Linked DNA regions of Ovis aries. The protein of the gene in region 2 interacts with the protein of the main gene of each other region in a pairwise test. Links are inferred from orthologs where the notes say so. Each region holds a gene or a part of one and is shown on either strand. Other genes may lie near its edges.

Region 1 (3,500 bases), on a different chromosome or scaffold from region 2:
AGGCAAAGCAGTATTGGGCAGGAGCTGGCATGTGGCTGGGCCATGTCCTCATCCCTGTGGCCTAAGAGGAGACCACCATTTAATATCCCCAGCTTCCACTACTCTTCAGAGGAGGGGGTGTAAGCCCCACATGCAAGAAGCCCTTGCCCCCAGTGTCAAATGGGACGCAAGAGTTACGATTAAGGAGAAACCCTGTGTAAGGTATTAATAGAGTTCAAAGGGGTAGGGATTACCCCTGTCCTCCATCACCCAAAGGTGCTCACTTTCCCAGTTTCTTCATCCGTTCATCGATGTTGGCAAAGTTCCCCTCAATTGTGGACAGGTTTCCACGCATCGTCGTCTGCACCTAGAAAGCGAGAGAGCTGTTTCACTGTCAGGTTCAGGTGCTTACCTGGGTGAGGCCCTGAAGAAATTCTCTGAGAGAAGACAAAGACATGCAGGAGAGTTCCCTGGTGGTCCAGTGGTTAGGACTCTGCACTTTCACTGCTGGGGCCCAGGTTCAGTCCCTGGTAGGGGAACTAAGATCCCACGAGCTGCACAACAAAGCTAAATTAGAAAAAAGAAATGGAAACAGCTTGTGGGCCCCAGAATGGGAAGGTGACTTGGAGCACCATGGACCTAGCATGGGATCTGCTAAACAGGCAGGCCTCTTAAGAATTCCCATCCTGACTTTAACCAGAACAGTTCTTTCATCTGTTTTATGTACTGAGGGACAAACAGGATTTTGTTGAAGTAAGGGTTTCACTCATCCGAAGTTTTAGAAAACTGCTTTGGAGGAAGAACATACCATGCCAAGCACTTTAATTTATCTTGACAGTCCTGTGATGCCAGAATCCCAACTGTAGTGCATCCCCCAGCACTGAGAACAGTGCCTCTGCCATAACCTGAAGACTTGCTCTGTGCTGGGCACTGCTTAGAGAATGGAGAGGTGACGCTCACAGCTCAGCGTCAGGAAGGAAGGGGCAAAACCAGGTGGGAGCCTGGCTCCAGATTTCAATGCCCATGTTCTGTCTAGTGTCCTGTGCTCAGGAACATCTGGTTGAGGACCCAGGGAGGATAAAAGCCAGCTGAGACTACAGAGGGAAAAGGTAGGTTTTATAGGAAGAATGGAGGTTTACTGAGCTCTTACCAATTCACTCATATTACTTCATTTCATCCACATAACTCTGAAGTAGGTATAATTTGCCAGATGGTGAGATGGAGGTTCATAGGTTAAATAAGTTGTCACATGTCCCATGGCAACCAAGAAACAGTATGGAGACTCAAACCAAACCCCTGCCACACCACTGTGCCACCAAATGGGCCAAGGCAGAACCCTCTGGAGCTGAAGCTGGAGAACCTTGCCTGTGTGTGCTGGGGAAGGGAGGCACTCACCTGAGTCAAGAGGGTGGCATTGTCCTTGAGGGAACAAGCAATCATCTGCTGTGTGGTATCCAAGTGTGTCAGAAGCTGACCAAACTGCATGGCTGTGAAAGGTCAGAACAGCAGGCATGGCATTAGAATCCAAGACCAGAGGGAAGGGAACAGGAGTTGCTCACTTTCCATTCCTCTTGACACCCCTTGTGGCTGGCCTCCCACCTTGTTCGTGTAGCTGTTTGATGGTGACAAGTCTCTGTACCAGCTCAGGAAGGGAGGTGGCAATGGGGCTCCAGCGCTGTATGGTTTCATACAGCTGGTGCACCTGGAGGGACAACATAGTGACCAACTTCAGCCAAATACACCCCATTAGGGTGAGACAAGTGCAAGCTGGGGCAACAGGGAAGCACTGCCTTATCTCAGCTGGTAAGAGCTTATGAGGACAGTAGCCTGAGGATTCAGTGCTCTCATGCTTTGCTCTTTCCAGCAGGAAGAGTACATGAGGGAGCAGGAAAGGGTATGAAGATGGAAGGAAAGGTCTCTTCCTGACCTTGCTCTGTGTATCTGCATCCTCTACAGAAGCTTTATGCTTGGCAATCTCATTCACTTTTCCCAGCACACTCTGAAAGCACAGATTTTAAGCAAAGGCATCAAGGTCTTCCAAAGTCACTAGCTGCCTGTAATCCAATTTGCCTCCACTTAATACCTGTAACCGAGCCTCCACTTGGTCCAAAACTGCAAGGTCCAGGGCGCCCACCTTCGCCTGCAACAGCTCTACAGTATCCTGGGGGCGGGGTCAGGACAAGTGCCATGAAGCAGACAGAATCAGACTAGAAAAGGCCACCTCATATTCCACTGAAGGTAATGAATAAACAGCTACAGATCCAAAAATAATTTTCTAAGCAAACCCAATCCTGATATCCCCTCTGTCATCCAAAGACTCCAGTTCCTTTTACACTCACCATGAGGCAGGCTCCCTGCAGACCTGCTGAAAGGGGATTCTGATGGGGAAAAGAAGCAAAGAAGTTAGTGATTCTCATCTCTCCAGGTGATTACCACCTTCTCTCATCCTTTTGGGTTCCAGCAGGCAACTGCTGGCTGCTCCTGTAACTGGAACCTGTTCCTGACTCCTCCCTGGATTCTGTGGAATGCTGTGGACCTTAGGGCTCAGGATGTGAGGGTTGGAACAAGTACAAGAGAGCACCTGACCTGAGCATCCTGATCACAGCGTACAGTGGCTTCCAGCTCTGTCAGGCGCTTCTCGAGTTCTGCCACCTAGGGGAGGAATGGGGATATTTGCCATCCACCTACCTCCCTTCTGCTGCAGTGGGAGGTAAACCTTGCTCTTTGCTGGTCTGCTTGCCCTCCCCTCCCCTCTCCCCACCACTCTGCCAAGGGATTTCTTTCTCTGGAACACAGCCCTAGTCACAGTCTTAAATGAGACATCAAGAAGAATCAAGCATTCCCAGCACCCTCTCCCCAGACATGATTCCTTGGAGGGTAGCAGGAAAGTCTCCGGAGCCACATCTTCCCTGGCCCCTTAACCAACATTACATACATCCACACACATACACAAACACACACAAAAACATACTTTGGCAGCTTGAGAGAACTTGTCCTGCTCAGGCCGAGAATGCAGTTCATAAGTGACCAAGCTGCTATCTGGGGGGGTCCCACTGGTGGTCTTGCCCCCTGAACCAGTCCCTTTGCTGTTCTTTGTTGCTTCCAGCTGCAGCAGTAGGCGCCTGGATCAAAAAACCAGCAATATTATCACGACTTGAAGGATGTGGGTCAGCTCAGTCACTTGTTTCTGCCTCAGGGTCAGCATTAAGGAACAGCTAGGCCACCTCTCCCCTTCGCAGCCCTGTCAATACCTGGCTGGAGTCCCTCTACACCCCAATTAGCAATGATCTCCCAGCAAAGTCTGGCACCCACTTAGCCAGAGCTCCATCGGGGTCAGTAAGGTTGATTGCGGCATCTGGTCCCAGCAGCTTCTCCAGATGGGAAGCAACCAGCTGCTGCTTCAGGGTGGCCAGCTGTTTAGCCAACACCACGGGGGTCAGCTTCTCCTCAGTGGCTGATTCCTTCACTGTCGTCTGGTATGAAAACAAATAGACAGTGAGGGGTGCTAAGAGTAAGTCAAG
Region 2 (4,119 bases):
CTGAAGCAACAGACAGGTGAAGAGTCCTCAGAGGTGACCGGGAGTGAGAAGGAGGGGATGGTCAATTACCAGGGAACCATGCCACGGAGAGATCCAATTGGAAGAAAGGTCAATGGAGCAGAACAGAGGGCAGACCTGGGAAAGTCTAAGGTGGGGTGGGGGTGGCCAGAGGAAGCTGCCACTTCCTTCTCTTTGGAGAAGTTGGCTAGGATGGGAAGGAGAGGATGTGGAATTTAGAACAGGAGAGATCTGCACATGCTGGGTCAATAGAGGAACAGGAACAACTGAAGCATTGAGAGGCAAGAGAAGGAAGACCCCAAGGATGGGTGGCCTGAGGTTGGCAGAGCTGAGCCCTGGAAGAATGCCAGGCTCTTGGCTAGAGAGTCCTGGCCTCTACCTTCCTTGATTAAGGAAGACACCTTGGAGGAGGAATCTCCTGGGTGCCCTCTCCCTGGCAGGGGTCAGGACTGCTGGCCAAAGGGCAGAGTGGACATTAATGCTGCCTGTGGGTAGCTCCGCTGAGGAAATGGAGATGGACGAGTGTGGAGTGGAGGGAACTGGGAGATGTAGCCAGACGTCCCCTTCTCCAGGCTACTCAGCAAAGAGCTGGGCACACAATCTGCCCTGAGGATCAGCTGCCCAGTGGGTAAAGAAGGAGGGAGTGAGACGGGCTCCACCTGCATGCTGAGCTGCTGGAAGGTGAGATGGCAAAGGGCACTGAAGGTCGATTCCATGGTTGAGGGAGACCTTCATGTGCTCTGTGCTTAGTTGTGTTGGACTCTGAGACCCTTTGGACTGTAGCCCGCCAGGCTCCTCTGTCCGTGGGAATTCTCCAGGCAAGAATACTGGAGTGGGTTACCATTTCCTTCTCCAGGGGATCATCCCTACCCAGGGCTCATCCCAACCCAGGGATCGAACCTGTGTCTCCTGCATTGCAGGCAGATTCTATATGCGCTGAGCCATCAGGGAAGCCCTGAGAAGACTTTTAAGGAGGTCAGCTAAGCCTGAGGGGCAGGGACAGAAGGACACATTATTTCCTGGCTTTCAGGAAGGGAAGTTGGGAGGCAGGAAGATATCAGGAAGAAAGAGGAAGGGTGTGTGCAAGATCCTGGAGAGGAAAAAGTAGCTGAATTAGCAGACTGTCAGATGTGAGAGTCAAAAGCATCAAGGACTTTCAAACAGCCCAAGACTGGAGACACAAAAACCTAGGTCTTAGGACGGGGTGATGGGGGCACAGCGTGGTTATGACCAAAAGCTAGTTCAGAGCCCGGCTGCACCACTTAGTAGATGTGCAACCCTGGGAGAATGACTTTGTCTCTAAGCCCCAGTATCTCCATCTTTGAAATGGGAGAACTCTACCTTAATAGGGTTGATGTAAAGTTTGGATGACACATATACACAACATTAAGAACAATACTGACATATACAAAGAACCCTGCCCCTCCCCCCCGCAAATTTAATGTTTCAGTGACCTATATCCAGCGGTGGGTGAACGCAGGGGCAGGCTGCAGGAGAGCCCCATCAGCCTCTCCAGGTTTAGGCCAGGGTGGCAGAGGTGCAGCCCTCTTCCCCCAGACCAGGGTTGCTGCAATGATTGGGGAATAGACTTGACAACTGCCCAGAGACCACTGCTTGGGGAAACATAGTCTTCGTCTCCCTGAGAGAGGGGGCAGAAGGTCTGGGAGGGTGGACAGGGGCTGGACCTCCCCTGAGCAGTCACACATCCTAGGTTTTGCAGGTCAACCCAGATTTCAAAGCCTCTGTCCCTTGGTGCCCAGAGGGAAAGCAGAACGCATTACCCCCACATCCCTTAAGTCCAGTCACTGCAAATACAGGGCCCCATTCTCAGACTGCATTCCTCACAAATGACTCTTTGGCCAAGGAGACGGCTACTTTTATCAAGGGCACAGGGAACAGCCTGGGCCAGCAGAGTTGCTGGCTCAGCCTCAGGAGGACAGAAAGCCAGAGAAGGCGAAAGGGCAGGTGTGGCCAGGACCCCCAACCTTGAGACAAATGTGTGTGTGTGTGGGGGGGGGGGGTGCTGATGACAAATGGTACTTGAGAATTTAAATACAGCTTCCTCTTTAAAATCTGCCAGGACCAGGCCCTTCACTGCGCCAGAGTTCCGCTCTAACTCACAACAGGGGGCTGACAGAGGTGGCTTCGGGCTGGCCCTCCCAGCTGGGAACCCCTCCCCACCAGGCTGCAGCTGTCAAAGGCTCAATTTCCCCACTGCCCAGGGGGACGCCGGCCCAGGCCCTCGTTCCTAACCTGCCGCTAGCCCACCCCATCCCGGCCCTGCGAAGGGGAAAGCCAACTGCCCAGAGGACCTACGCGGTGGGAGGGCTCGAAACTGCAGCGTTCGAGGGAGCCTTGCGGACCCGGGGACTTCGGCCCGGGGAGGGGGCGGCGCTGACCGGCACGCGGTTCCCTGGCAATCTCCGGCTTTCCCGGGCCATTGAAATCGGAAAGGGGGTCCCGAGGCTGCTCGCATTCCAGGGGACATGTCGCCCCCATGCTCTGATCGGCTCTGGCTGGACAGCGTGGGGGGCGGGGGTGGGGGCGGGATAGCGCAGGGCTGGGTCTCCCGGGCCCGGCCCTCCCCGCGCCCCACCTCGGGATTGGGCAGGGGGATCCCGGACGCGACACCCCGAACGACGGGCTGGGCGGAACCCGAGCGCCCAGCCCTCCCTCTTCCCGCCCGAGCCCCGGACTCACCGGCCTGGCGGAGGCAGGATCCCGGCGTCGCCGCAGCGCCAGGGGCTCGGCCCGGCCCGGCCCGCCGGCGGGAGGCAGCTCCACGCCACCGCCTCCTTGGCCCGCCCCGCTCCCGCCCCGCTCCGGCCCCTCCCGCACACTTTCCACAGGAAATGATTAACTCGGGCCGCGGCGCGTTCCCATGGCAACCGGCTCAGACCCTGGCGGGGGGCGGCGGCACGCGCGCGCGCTCCCGCGTGCACACACACAGAGACTCACACTCTCACGCGGGGCCGCCGGCTCTGCTCAGACCTTTCTTCTGGGTCTCCCGGCGCTCCGCACACGCCCGTGCACACGTGCGCGCTCACCCCAGACGCACACAAGCCGTCCTACGTGCTCACATACAATACACGCGGCTCTCACAGGTTTGCACACACGCTCTAGTGAGTCCACATGAACACATTCACAGTTCCCACACACATCCCGACGTTCGTTCCTACGTGTATGCTTTGCACTTAAACTGACATTCTCATCCACACCTCCTCAAACCCTAGTACAAAACTTTTGCACACACTAGTTACTACTACTAACACACAATTCTCACAAGTGCTCCCTTGCCACGCTTCACAGTTTCTCACAATCTGTAGTATACTTTTTTCTAAAACTTTCTAGCACACACACACTAGCTAGTATGTGTGCACACTTGCACATTCTCACACACTTCCAATGTGCACTCACATTCCTGTACGGAGTTCAGACTTTCCCCCTTGCTTTCCCACAAATGCTGTACATGCTTCTTCAGGTACTCTTGAACTCTTCCTCACATTTCACAGAGCAACATTCCTATGCTGCTAACCCCAGTACAGACTTTCATGGGCTTCCCAGGTGGCTCAGCTGGTGAAGAATCCACCTGCCAAGGCAAGAGACTTGGGTTCGATCCCAGGTCCAGGAAGAGCCCCTGGAGGAGGAGATGGCAACCCACTTCAGTATTCTTGCCTGGGAAACCCCGCGGACAGACGAGCCTGGCGGGTTACACTCCATGGGATTGCAAAAGAGTCAGACTTGACTTAGCAACTAAACAACACACGCTTTAGTGAGCACACGTGCCCATGCATGCACTGTCACACATCAGCACACGCGTTTTCACACGTGCATTCTCACTAGCTCTAGTAGGAGCACACAGGCCAGGTTGCCTCCCTAGCCAGGGCACCACCTGCTGCCCCCTGCTCCTGCCTGGCCCTGTTCCCCTCTCATACCCCACCAAGAGATAGATGTCTTGCAGAGCAGGGAAGCTGTTTGGGATTTTTAAAGGTAAAATATTCCTTTAATCTCCAGTGAAAACACATTCAGAATGCCAGCTTGGAGCAGACAGCAGCTCCTGGTGTAGGCCCAGACGGCCTTCCTCAGAGGATGTCCCAGAAG
Region 3 (3,500 bases), on a different chromosome or scaffold from region 2:
TCAGAAATGTATTGTCTGTATGAAACATGCACTTCTGTAGTATTCCCAGTACTGTAAGAAATATTGGAACCCAATCTGAGGGAAGCAGAAGTTGAAAGAAAAAAAAAAAAAACCAACCCTGATTTATCATGGTGGAAATGCTCAAAGAATGCTATAGCTCTTTCTGGAAAAATTATTAGAGTTTTATTACTCTTTATTAGAAATATATCTCTTTATTAGAAATATAAAGATATCTAACTTTCTTGAGGACTAATTTTAAATGTGTTAATATTATTCTTAGATTATGTTTTTCCACTAATTAAGTTGGGAGTGTCTCAAAAGCAGAATTCTTGAAAAACAAAACAAAACAAAACAAAAACAGTGTAAGTATACTCCCTGCTGGAATCAATGTACTTATAAAGAATTCTAAGATGTTAGGAGTGAATCTTGTGTGTGCCTATTAAGTAGATGATAATTACGAAGCACAGGACTGAAGCCAGACTACTAGAGGAGCAGACTGGTCACACAGTGAGTGTAGGCACAACAGCCCATGAGAAACCTACCATTGTGTTGTGCTGAGAAGTGGGAGTCCTATGGCCACAAGTCTCTTGCGTCAGCAGAGAAACTGGCTGAAATTCCTCAGAGTGAGGCTTGTTGGGAAAACTCACATGCAAGGGAAGGTGAAAGGCTGGGAGCCCGTCACTCTCCTCTTCTTCCACTTTCTGTCTGCTTGTCACCATGGCTACCTCTCCATCTGCTTCCCCATACGGAGAGGCTGGTCGCTTGGAAGACATCCTGGAAGGAACAAAAGAGGAGAAAATAATGAAACCTCCACATAAATCCTTAATGCCGTCATTGTGTGGTTAGGGGCCATTGTAACAGAAATGCCTTTTTGTGCTGGCAGAGAGCAGGAAACCATCCAAATACCACTGCAAAGCACACACAATCAGAAACAATGGCCAAGCAGGTAGCAACAGAACAGTGCTTGTTTGTTGTGAGAATAATACACTAATATAGCACTCTCTTGTATTCTGGCTTCTTAAACAAGAGAATTCACCTAAGAACACTGCATAATGAAAGACCATTCCATTTTAAAGGAAAGAAAAATACCCATCTCATTTTACACGTTGATAGACCTTATTGAAGACAGAACATCCATGAATAGCAAATCCTGTTGGCAGTTAAAGGAAGGGAAATAACTAAAAAATTTTTCACCAAAAAATAAACAAAGTAAATGAATGACTGTCATTAAAAAAACTGCATTAAAAGTAAGATTATTGTAAAATGTAGGAATATTGGTTATTGGCAAACCTCAGGTCACAGAACAAAAAGTTTGATATTTGTTTAAAGCTTATTAAGAATTGAAGAAATTCTACAATCACTGTTAATCCTCAAATATTTAAGGACTTTTCTCTCTCATATCCCCAAATCACCCAATTTTGGCTTTTAGTTCTAATATAAAATTTGTAGGTAGTTAAAAAAAATGATAAGAATAGAAAAATATTTCAATTTTATTTCCACAGTTTCATGAAATATTTAGCTGTAGATTCTCAGACTTATTTCTTCCTTAGAATACCTAAGCAAAGAAAAAATAAATTAAATAAGCATGTTTTGTTTTGACAAGCTAATGCCTATATGACAATACACTTAGATTTTTTTTTTGTACTTGAGTCTGATTGAGAATGTTATCGGAGGTTAAAAATAAATGGCAAATATGTTTAGTGAAACATAAGACATATTTTCTTTTCATTAAATTTTTCATGGAAGCAGAATAGAGTTAAATTTTTTAATTAAAAAAATGTCTGGTATTTACAACTTGATTTGACCTTGAAAAACACTCTAATTTTTGTTCAACAAAGAGTGTCTACAAAATCATCCATTCTTATTCTATACCACTGATACAGGGGACAAGAAAGTATGAACTAACTACCACATCACTTCATTCATATATATCACTGATTTTTAAAGTTAAAATGTACTACCAAATGAGAGGGCTCTAACCTCTGTTGAGTGATGCTATTCTTAGTGTTAGAAGTTTTGAAAGACAAATGTATTTAAATGCTGGATATATTCTGTGAAGATAAAATAGCAGAGTAGAAAAAAATAAAGGCTGTGGAATCAGACAAACACAAAATAAAACACTGATTCTGCTACTTGCTAGCTGTGAGACTTACTTTAATCTCTATTTCAGTTTACTCATCTTTAAAGTGAGATGAAATATCTACCTGTAATACTTTGAGAATGAACTATGTTCCACATGAAAAATGACTTACAGAGCATTTTGCTCAGAGTAGACACTCAATTAAAAAATACTGCTGTTTATTTCACTACCTTTAAAACTACAGTGTGACCCACCACCGTTAAAAACACAAAAACAGCAGCAGCAACAACAACTCAAAAATGACAATGCAGATTGCATTCTAAGAGTTAAACTGTAAAATCAACATTGGATACACAGTCTCCAATAGAGAAACGTTCCCTGGTTAGTCATACTTGACAATAAACTGATCAAATGAGTTATCAAGTGTTAAAGAAAAAATGTTATTAGCAGAAGTCTTGATCAGCAGAAGAACACAGAAAAGAAAGGAAATAGTAGTGGTTACCAAGCACTGTTTAAAAACAGAAACAGACTGGGCCAGTGCATTTCAGGGATCTTTAACCATTTCTGATCTCATTACTAAGGTTTACCCCAAGTATACTCTAAGTATGGAGAAAGAGCAAGGGCCTGGGATTAACAGAAAAGACTGAGTCTCATGACCCAGAGGGATGTTGTGGGGAGGGAGGTGGGAGGGGGGTTCATGTTTGGGATCGCATGTACATCCGTGGTGGATTCATGTCAATGTATGGCAAAACCAATACAGTATTGTAAAGTAAAATAAAGTAAAAATAAAAATAAAAAAGAAGTGAAGTGAGAGTCACTCAGTCGCGTCTGACTCTGTGACCCCATGGACTATACAATCCATGGAATTCTCCAGGCTAGAATACTGGAGTGGGTAGCGTTTCCCTTCTCCAAGGATCTTCCCAACCCAGGGATCAAACCCAGGTCTCCCGCATTGCAGGCAGATTCTTTGCCAGCTAAGCCACAAGGGAAGCACAAGAATACCGGAGTGGGTAGTCTATCCCTTCTCATCTAGGAATCAAACCCGTTTTTCCTGCATTGCAGGTGGATTCTTTACCAACTGAGCTATCAGGGAAGCTCTTAGTCTCATTGGCAACACTTTATCTATCCCCAAATTGACAGATTAAACTTTATATGATAACTCAACACTAGAGATATTTAACTCCCACTGTTTTGTTTCCATGCTCTCCTAGTAAACTGCTTTTTTGAAAAAATTCATTTTTTTAATTGAAAGATAATTGCTTTATGATATTATATTGGTTTCTGCCATACATCAACATGAATCAGTCATAGGGATATGTAGCTCCTTCCCTCTCGAAACTCCCTCCCACCTCGCACCTCATCCCACCCCTCTAGGTTGTCACAAAGCATGGAATTTGAGCTCCCTGTGTCCAAGCAAACT
Region 4 (3,500 bases), on a different chromosome or scaffold from region 2:
GCCCCTGCTTTAGGGGCCTTCCTGGCCCAGGGCTCAGACCTGCACCTCCCGCACTGGCAGGTGTACTCTTCGCTGCTGCACCACCTGGGAAGCCCCCAGATGCCAGTTATGCCTCAATACGAAAAACAAAGGAGGGAGGGAAGCGACGTGAAGGTGAAACTTTCAGGGCTCAGTCACCTTCAACTCTTTGTGAACCCACAGACTCACCCACCAGGCTCCTCTGTCCATAGAATTCTCCGGGCAAGAATACTAGAGTGGACAGCCATTCCCTTCTCCAGGGGATCTTCCCGATCCTGGGATCAAACCCAGTCTCCTACAAATTCTTTACCATCTGAGCCACTAGCTGCTGCTGCTGCTGCTGAGTCACTTCAGTCGTGTCCGACTCTGTGCGACCCCAGAGACGGCCGCCCACCAGGCTCCCCCGTTCCTGGGATTCTCCAGGAAGAACACTGGAGTGGGTTGCCATTTCCTTCTCCAATACATGAAAGCGAAAAGTGAAAGTGAAGTCGCTCAGTCGTGTCCGACTCCTAGCAACCCCATGGACTGCAGCCCACCAGGCTCCTCCATCCATGGGATTTGCCAGGCAAGAGTACTGGACGGGGTTGCCATTTGAGCCACTAGGGAAGCCCCTAAATTATATGAAAGTCATATAAAAAGAGACACAAGTCACCATAGACATATAAAAGAGCCTCCACGCCACTCATAAATTAAAATCTAAAAGAGACGATTTCGGCCTAGTAGAATAATAATGCTTAATGCTAGTGAGGTTTTGAAAATCAGGTACTCTCAGAAACTGGGAAAGAATGTACACTGACCCAACTCTTTAGAAAGGCTGTTCGACAGCATCTATTAAAAGCTTAAATGCACATCACTTTCATTCAAAAACTCCATTGCTACAAATATACTCATGCAAGTTCGAGAAGATAAGCTCTAGTTTCACGTGTAAGTATATGTATTATTTTAATGACTCTTTAAAACAAAACAAATACAACCCAAATGCCCACCAGAGAGTACTTAATAAAATTTTTGTGTATCTTTGCCGACAAAGGTCCGTCTAGTCAAAGCTATGGTTTTTCCAGTAGTCATGTACAGAGTTGTACCATAAAGAAAGCTGAACGTCAAAGATCTGATACTTTTGAACTGTGGTGTTGGATAAGACTCTTGAGAGTCCCTTGGACTGCAAGGAGATCCAACCAGTCAATCCTAAAGAAAATCAGTCCTGAATATTCATTGGAAGGACTGATGCTGAAGCTGAAGCTCCATTACTTTGGCCACCTGATGTGAAGAACTGACTCAGTGAAAAAGATCCTGATGCTGGGAAAGATTGAAGGCAGGAAGAGAAGGGGACAACAAGGATGAGATGGTCGGATGGCATCACCAACTCGATGGACATTAGTTTGGGCAAGCTCTGGGAGTTGGTGATGGACAGAGACCTGACATGTTGCAGTCAATGGGGTCGCAAAGAGTTGGACATGACTGAGCAACGGAACTGACAGCTCAAAAGTTAATTCCTAAGTCTTGATATTTATAAGGAAACCTAAACCCATCTCATCAAGAAATGATCAGCAGAGGCCCTTTCTTTCAGAAATGAAAGATTCACACAAAACATACCTGTCCAACTGGGGAGACCACCGGCACTTCCAGGGTCATCACCAGCATTTCTTGATCTCTCTATAACCAACCTCACTGCACTGAGCCAAACCCCAATACACCATAAGGCTTCACTGCCTGTACTATCGAGAATGGCTGACAGTACCAGGAGGGTAAAACAAAATCTGAGCTTCAAAATGCTTTTGCCAAATATCCAGGTATCTAAATAAAGAAGAGTTTTTCTGCAAAGAATAAAGAGTAAATATAAGTTTCAAACAAGTAGGGGAAGAGGTGGGCTAGACTCCAGGTCAGCCCCAAAAGGCATGGGATCAGGAGCATGCAAGCAATTCATGTGTGACCCAGTGCCTGTAATGCACGGCAGGAACACAGAAGTAAAACTGTTCTCTCTATATATACCTGAAGTGTTTCATTAGAAAAAAAAGAGAGAGAGAGTGCTCATTCAGGAGGCACACAAGCTGAAACACTGTTACCAAGATGAGCAGACTCTTGTACAAGGACAGTATCTATCACATTATGTATTTAAGTTTTATTCATGACATTTACTACTTTCACTTTATAAAAGTTACATCTTAAAAGACAAAAATTGTTGCATGGGTATGCTACAAGGGCTTCCTTGATAGCTCAGTAGGTAATTCATCTGCCTGCAATGCTGGAAACCAGCGTTTGATTCCTGGGCCAGGAAGACCCCCCTGGAGAAGGAAATGGCAACCCACTCCAGTATTCTTGCCTGGAGAATCCCATGGACAGACGAGCCAGGCAGGCTACAGTCCATGGGGTCACAAGAGTCAGACACGACTTAACAACTAAATCACCACGCTACGAATCAGAGAAGAGAAAAAGGTATCAAAAGATGGAAGTGGACAGAAAGGGAACTGGGAAGATGAAGACAAGCTTACTGTTCTTTAGGTTGCGGTGTAGGCTGGGCCACGCCCTGCAGCACCACAAGGCCCACCCAAAGGACCTCAACTTCATCAGTTCACTCCTGCTGGAATTCAGGATTAAGAAGTGTTTGTGTAGTAACCTAAGAGTAACCATTTCCAACTGTGTCCAAAAATGTTAAATACAAACCACTGTTAACATGTAAGGTGCCTTTAGTTAGTAATTTATGCAGATTCCCCCTACCCCCAGTACCCATGACTTTATTTTCTTACGTTTTAGAAAAAACATAGCCACCCACTAGAACTGTGAGCCATGGACATAGCTGCTTAAGATATGGGTAAATTGAAGGTTATTTTTTTTTAAGGTGCAGATTGAAAAAGAATCCAATATATTAAAGAAAGATTAAAATACATATGGTAAAGTAGTAACAATGAAATGCTGATGAGATCTACATGATAGTATATGAGCATTGACTAGAGAATTATCCTACCTTTGCTGTATATTTGAGATTTTTTATAAGATGCTGAGTAAAAAATATTTAAGTTACCAAAAACACTGTCGGTACCTAGACATAGCAAATATTATGAAGACTACATACTGAATTACTAGAAAATAATTTTCTAACAAAAATACAAGCTAAGCTCCAAACAGGCAATCTAAAATTTCATGCAACACACCATTTAAAACCTGAATCTCTCGCAGCATTAAATCATCACAAGGTGCCGAAAACATGTCCTTAGAAATATTTACTTACAGTTTGTAACATTTGGGGCTGTCCCGTGTGTGAATTGAAAACCCTTCACTTAATCTAGTGTCAGAAGCAACAATTGAAAAGTCTTCTCCAGCAATTGCCAATACAGTACTGAGGGGAAAAGAAGGAAAAACAAAATTAATGAATTATTTTGGATGTTAATAACACCTTTCCCAATATGAGAAGGATCCATAGCACATACTGAGATAAAATCTACTAGATATAATCAAGTACAGGATTCAGATGGAAGAGGAAAAGA
Region 5 (3,500 bases), on a different chromosome or scaffold from region 2:
TGTGAATGACAGAGATAAAAATCCTTGCCTGTTACAAATTTGTTTTTATTGCAGCAGGATGGACCAACTAAACAAGTAAAATATTACTACCATTTCCAGTTTGCCAATTAGGAGACTTAGGCAAGGAGAGACGACTGAGTGATGGCTCAGCGTCATCTGCATGATTACTGCAGAGACGACATTCAGTCAGCCCACATTCAGCAACCACTGGACCCTCAGCTCTTCTCCTGCTCCAGGCCGTCCTTCCCTCAAACAAGCCCTCTTTCGTCTCTGCTCCCTAGCCAACAACTCAGGTTTTATCAGAAAGATTCCAGACTGTAATCTTCTCTTCATGAGATGAACCAAGATTCTTTGGCTCAGAAACCTTTTTCCCTTTACTTCTCCTCTGATAATTATCTTCAAATGATCCACATGGATAAAAGAATGAGGCTTTTAGAACACTTAGTCTGCAAGGGCCTCACATGTTTTATTTTAAAATTCAAGTCAGTTTGGTTCTAAGTAAAAATATGTTAGGAAGACATGTTATCAAATTTGGGGGATGGTGATGAACTATTTTGATCCCCAATTTCAAAGTACAAAATATAAAGAAAATCATCTATAGTGCTAATATGTACTCTTGAGAAAAAGAAAGAAGGGAAAAAAACTTTTTTTAAATCAACAAACCTGTTCTGTTAAGTGGTAGGCTACTTTTACAATGACTATTTTACTTCAGATTTTTAAGTTCTCACCTTTCTGGAGTAAGTCACACATTTCTATTAATTCCTACATAAAATTTAGCAACTAAAACTTCAGTGTTTAAAAAATACTAAATAGTAATAAAATAATAATGATGTCATGTTAACATAAGAAGATTTGCTCATGATTATAGAATTTCACTTTTTCTAAAGTAGTGGCTAAGTTAGGGTCTGATCCAAGGGCTACTGCTGACCCACATGTAGATATCTTTTTTTTTTAAGTATTAACTACCAAAAGTGGGTAAAATCTATTAATTACTTTGGGCTTGAATTGGTAATTTATCTCCGTGACATACCTCACTGCATCTTACTAGATTCAAACTACTCTCTCCATTAATGGGGTCTTGCCAAGAGTTGCACTAGCAAAAGCAAGCACCTATCACCTTCACACTCCAACCAACTCCTGGCCTTTGTGCACGCCACTCTCTCTGCCTAACGGGCCTTCCTCAGCTTCCTCCTATACCTGGTTAATTCTCAACTCTGTTTAAGTATTCAAGTTTACCTATGCCAGGAAGGAGGCTTCCTAAGGCTTGAACAGACTCCCCTCCCATGCAACCCCATGACACTCTGTGCCACACCCCGCCTGTCCCCCATCCTAACACACTCAACTTGACACACTACAGTAAATCTGCCTGCTCTCATTTGTCCCCCTCTCTAGATGATATTCTATGTGAGACAGAGACACATTTATTGTCCCAGTGCCATATGTATTGTCCCAGACGCATGTATTCTCCCAGTGCCTAAAAAACAATAGGATGCGAAGGATGGAGGGAGGGAAGGAGGAACAGAGGGGTTGATTAAATAATCAATGGGGTTAAACAGAAAGAAAAGTGGCAACGAACTGGGGTGGGAAGGCAAAACAAGAAAGCAAGGAAAAGAAAAGGGGAGGAGGCTTTTGCTACCACTGCCGCCACTTCAAGAGAATGCACAGACCCAGTGAAGAATCCCTGCCAGAGCAAGTCACTGCTATTAATGCAACAGAAAAGAAAACGCATAGCCACTTTGGTGAAGACAATAAAATACCAAACGATTTGAAGTTTATGAAGTTCAGTCTTGTGTGTTAACTTTGTAAGTATGTAACTTGATCATGAAAAAATAAATTTTTCCTTTAAGTCAATTTTAAAGGTTTACTCCATTCTTAAATAGGCCTTTTTTAGACTGTCTGAAATAAAACTTCTTTCCAAAATAATTTAAAATGTGGTTTAATGCAGAAATATAAACTTTAATATATGCATTTTTATTTAATAGCTAAAGGATTTATAAATAAAGCAAAAGCCTAAACGAAAGATACTTTTAAACTCAAAGATGATAAACTGTAAAGAGCATTTTATTTAGCTGAATGAAAGTAAGGCTAGTAGAGCTTATCGATATAAAAGGACTGAAATTCACCGCTATGCCTTAAACTTATTTGAGATAAAAGTTTATAATTATTACTCTTTATATGCAGCACAAAAAAATATAAATTATTTACTCATATAAGAGTTCCACAACAACATCCAGATTCAACTCTTTCCTGGGAGATAATGTTAGATGTTTTCATTCTTTTTAATATTTTTCACTTTTAATTTAACCTCTTACCCTAAATGCAGGATTGGCTCCATGCTCCAATAAGCATTTCACGGTACCTGCACACAAGTTATATGCAGCAATATGCAGAGCTGTTCCAAAATTAAAGTCGCTGCAAGTGGCATCCACATCTGTAATTGAACATCACAAGTGTATTAACAAAAATTTTAGTTAATCTATTATAACGTGAAAAGAGGCAGGTTGGGTTGGATTTATTTGGGGGAATGGGGTATAAGCTATTGACGAGACTTAAACCAACCCACTAGAAGGACCATTCTCACAATGGAATAAAATCTGCATATTACAATCTGGTTAACTAATTTTTTTCTTAGTATAATAAAATTTCACTATCAAATAGACTCATGTTATGTGTTTTCTAACCATCACAAACTAAAGTATACTTAAAAGCAATTAATGGCAATAATTCGTATTTATAAAAGTAACTATCTTAACACACTCTTTCACTAAACCTCTTGCATATTGGCCACAACAATGATAATGTAGCATGGTTTAGTCAGGGACTAGCAAACTGTGGCTCATGGCCAAATCCAACTCATCATGTTTTCATAAATAAAGTTTTATTGGAACACAGCCACTTGCATTCATTTATATATTCTCTGTGGCTACTTTCACACCACTCTGTAGAATCAAGTAGTTTCAACAGGGACCACGTGGTCCACAAAGCCTAAAATATTTACTATCTGCCTCTTCATAGAAAAAAGAAGGTAAAACAACGGAGACTTCTCAAACCCGGAATAAATTAAAGTGTAATTAAACATATGCTACATGCTGTATTCATTCACAATACTTTATGAAGAATTTGTATGTCACAGTAAGAATGAGAATCTTGCAATTCTAAGAACATTTTAAGAACTTTCAACAAATCATCAGGATGTAATACATAAATACAAGATATACTCCAGATTTGGATATTCCATTTCGACTGTTTTTTATAACATGGGTTTAATATACCTCTGGTTCTGCTAATCCTGCCTGAATCAAATGACTGCTTCACCACCTTACATGCCCTACCCACACTGCAAACAAACCAAGACACACTCAGAACACTGTCCTCAGTTATGAAAGACATGGGGTCGCACAGAGTCGGACACGAGTGAAGCGACTTAGCAGCAGCAGCCGCAGTACCATCAAGAGAGGCGTTCTTCCTAACATCATTCAAAAAGTGAAAACATAAACAGG
Region 6 (2,396 bases), on a different chromosome or scaffold from region 2:
AAAAGTAGACCAGCCTAAACTGTATTGGTGAGCTTTAGGGGAACTAAACATATAAAGGACGGCCTGTACTCAGCTCCTTTTAAGAAAAGTAGTTTAACTGAGATTTGAAGTTCTTCATTTCGTAAAATAAACTTGTGGTATTGTGGTATAATGAAAACTATATATTCGACCTTTGTCCCCATGTCCTGAATCCCTCGGAATTTCCTGAATGATAGAATGAGACTGCTCACCAGAGGAGCCGACCACATGATTAGAGGGTTAGAACTTTCAGCCCCGTTGCCAGCCTCTGCAGAGGGGTCAGGGACTGGAATCAAGTTTGTTCACCAGTGGCCCATGATTTAATTAATCATGCCTGTGCCATGAAGCTTCAGTAAAACTCTAAAAGGAGACCAAGAGGTTTCCAGGGAGGGTGGTGCATCTGAGAATAAAACTGTAAGTAAATCCCTTTCCCAAGCTCTGTGTGTTGTTTTAGCAGATTATTGAATGTGAGAGGAGGTCATGGGAATTCCCTAATTTATAGTTGTTTGGTTGAAAGGACGGGTGGTCCCTAGGACTTACCTCTGGTACCTGAATTGGGGGCAGTTTTGTGGAACTGAGCCCTTATCACTCCAGGTGGTGTCAGAATTGAAGTGAATTGCAGGATGCATTCTGTATTATACCTGGAATACTGCAGGTATCCCACATGTTTAATGTGTAACCTGGTCACAATTATCTCTTCCAGTATCTGACCAAGCAGGTGGAGCTTCTGCGGCAGATGAATGAACAGCATGCAAAGGTTTATGAGCAATTAGACGTCACAGCGAGGGAACTGGAAGAAACAAATCAAAAGCTCGTTGCTGACAGCAAGGCCTCACAGCAAAAGATTCTGAGGTAAATTCTTTAGAATCTGTTGAAGAAGCCCTAGGGGAAGTCATTTAGTATAAACTAGAATAGAACATGGCTGTAGTGGGTTCAGGTCAGTGTGGGGTAAGCTTTAATTTAATTCTCTATGGAGAATAGAGATTAAATAGAAGTCTTTTCCAATTACAAAAGCCCAGTTTGAGTGGTTGCCAACTAAGCTCTCCTCACTGCTTATGCCTTTAATTTAATATGACAAGCTGCAATTGGCTTCTGTCTGTTCCTCACAGTCTGACTGAAACGATTGAATGCCTGCAAATGAACATTGATCACCTCCAGAGCCAAGTGGAGGAGCTGAAATCATCCAGCCAAAGGAGAAGGAGCCAGGGGAGGCATGACCAGGAGAAATCGGCCCCCAGCTTCTCGTCTTTGAAAGAGCTGTATGACCTCCGCCAGTAAGAGCCCACCTTCCATTTGCAAGCAGGAGAACATCTCGTGTCATTGGCACATTCTGGATCCCAGTAGATTAAAAGTACCCTTTTAGGAAATGCCGCTTGGCTATTAGACCACCAGTGGTTTGAACAAAACCACTTAAACATACATGTGATAGTTTTTGTTGTTGTTGTTGTTGTTTAGTCCAATTGAAATTTCAGTAAAACAAAATCCAGGCAAACAGAAGGCTTTTTTTTTTTTTTTTTTTTTCCTGAAGAAAAGCCTTTTACAATTTAGACTTTGGAGATTGAATCTTCATTTAAGAACTATTTCTTGAACACCTGTGGTAAGGCAGGTGCTATGCCAGATGTGAGGAGTGGTGAGCAAAACAGACACAGTTTCTGCCCTCATGGAGCTTTCAGTCTCAGGAAGAGGCAGGTAGCAAATAAGTACAGTTACAAGTTGCCCAGGACTCTGACCAGGAGAGAGACCAGCTCGTGCATTTGGTGGGCCTCAACTTGACTGTTCAGATCGCCATCAGGCCTAATCAGAATCTCTAGGTATGAGTGAAAGGCTATTCAGGTGATTCTGATGTCTGTCTGTTCTTGGTTTAAAATCACCGCAGCAATGGTTCTCAGTCTTAGCTGCATATTATGAATCATAGGAAGAGCTTTAAAAAATACACACCCTCTAGTTCATGTGGCAGACCAGCTAGGTCAGCATCTGTGGGGGTGGGACCCAGGCGTCAGTATGTTTTAGGACTGCCCAGGTGATTCTAATCTGCAGCCAAGATTGAGCACCACTGGCTGTTCTGATCTCCTTGAACAGTCTCAGTCATACTACTGGTCTTTGGGAATGGATGTTCTATAGCATTTTTAATGTTTTAAAAAAAAATTAATTACACAAGATGTGTGTTCCTCCATGTGTTGTCAGCCTCACACATTCGTTTTAGCCGCTGCTCTAGGGTGGAATAGGCAAAAAATCAGTCATATCACAGCTCCTCAAAAATATGTAGTTGGAAAAAAATCATCAGCCTCCCTCTTTGCCTTCTCAGTCGGCCTGTGTAAGAGTCTTTCAATATTTCCCCCAGGCACTTCGTGTACGATCATGTGTTTGCCGAGAAGATC

What was found.
Region 1: the proteins of KIFC3 (region 2) and DCTN2 interact in binary tests that used the Homo sapiens proteins (3 or more experiments, as listed by UniProt). The two-hybrid records come from large-scale screens. The link is inferred for Ovis aries from reciprocal best matches to the Homo sapiens genes KIFC3 and DCTN2.
Region 3: the proteins of KIFC3 (region 2) and SOX5 interact in binary tests that used the Homo sapiens proteins (3 or more experiments, as listed by UniProt). The two-hybrid records come from large-scale screens. The link is inferred for Ovis aries from reciprocal best matches to the Homo sapiens genes KIFC3 and SOX5.
Region 4: the proteins of KIFC3 (region 2) and PSMB1 interact in binary tests that used the Homo sapiens proteins (3 or more experiments, as listed by UniProt). The two-hybrid records come from large-scale screens. The link is inferred for Ovis aries from reciprocal best matches to the Homo sapiens genes KIFC3 and PSMB1.
Region 5: the proteins of KIFC3 (region 2) and CLIP4 interact in binary tests that used the Homo sapiens proteins (3 or more experiments, as listed by UniProt). The two-hybrid records come from large-scale screens. The link is inferred for Ovis aries from reciprocal best matches to the Homo sapiens genes KIFC3 and CLIP4.
Region 6: the proteins of KIFC3 (region 2) and CDR2 interact in binary tests that used the Homo sapiens proteins (3 or more experiments, as listed by UniProt). The two-hybrid records come from large-scale screens. The link is inferred for Ovis aries from reciprocal best matches to the Homo sapiens genes KIFC3 and CDR2.

The regions. Positions count from the first base shown.
Region 1 is NC_056056.1:162,121,317-162,124,816, reverse strand, and holds part of DCTN2 (dynactin subunit 2), read right to left. Parts: intron 3,453-3,500; coding exon 3,292-3,452; intron 3,102-3,291; coding exon 2,951-3,101; intron 2,632-2,950; coding exon 2,566-2,631; intron 2,358-2,565; coding exon 2,319-2,357; intron 2,141-2,318; coding exon 2,063-2,140; intron 1,979-2,062; coding exon 1,907-1,978; intron 1,682-1,906; coding exon 1,579-1,681; intron 1,467-1,578; coding exon 1,375-1,466; intron 347-1,374; coding exon 264-346; coding exon of another isoform or gene 260-263; exon of another isoform or gene 62-259; coding exon of another isoform or gene 49-61; exon of another isoform or gene 1-48. UniProt on the Homo sapiens protein: Part of the dynactin complex that activates the molecular motor dynein for ultra-processive transport along microtubules. In the dynactin soulder domain, binds the ACTR1A filament and acts as a molecular ruler to determine the length.
Region 2 is NC_056067.1:25,344,597-25,348,715, forward strand, and holds the start of KIFC3 (kinesin-like protein KIFC3), read right to left. Parts: upstream 2,801-4,119; 5' UTR 2,518-2,800; coding exon of another isoform or gene 2,507-2,517; coding exon 2,335-2,506; intron 1-2,334. UniProt on the Homo sapiens protein: Minus-end microtubule-dependent motor protein. Involved in apically targeted transport. Required for zonula adherens maintenance.
Region 3 is NC_056056.1:191,789,905-191,793,404, reverse strand, and holds part of SOX5 (transcription factor SOX-5), read right to left. Parts: intron 775-3,500; coding exon 543-774; intron 1-542.
Region 4 is NC_056061.1:91,728,220-91,731,719, forward strand, and holds part of PSMB1 (proteasome subunit beta type-1), read right to left. Parts: intron 3,353-3,500; coding exon 3,245-3,352; intron 1-3,244. UniProt on the Homo sapiens protein: Non-catalytic component of the 20S core proteasome complex involved in the proteolytic degradation of most intracellular proteins. This complex plays numerous essential roles within the cell by associating with different regulatory particles.
Region 5 is NC_056056.1:35,969,834-35,973,333, reverse strand, and holds part of CLIP4 (CAP-Gly domain-containing linker protein 4), read right to left. Parts: intron 2,432-3,500; coding exon 2,313-2,431; intron 1-2,312.
Region 6 is NC_056077.1:20,559,589-20,561,984, reverse strand, and holds part of CDR2 (cerebellar degeneration-related protein 2), read left to right. Parts: intron 1-721; coding exon 722-870; intron 871-1,127; coding exon 1,128-1,292; intron 1,293-2,359; coding exon 2,360-2,396.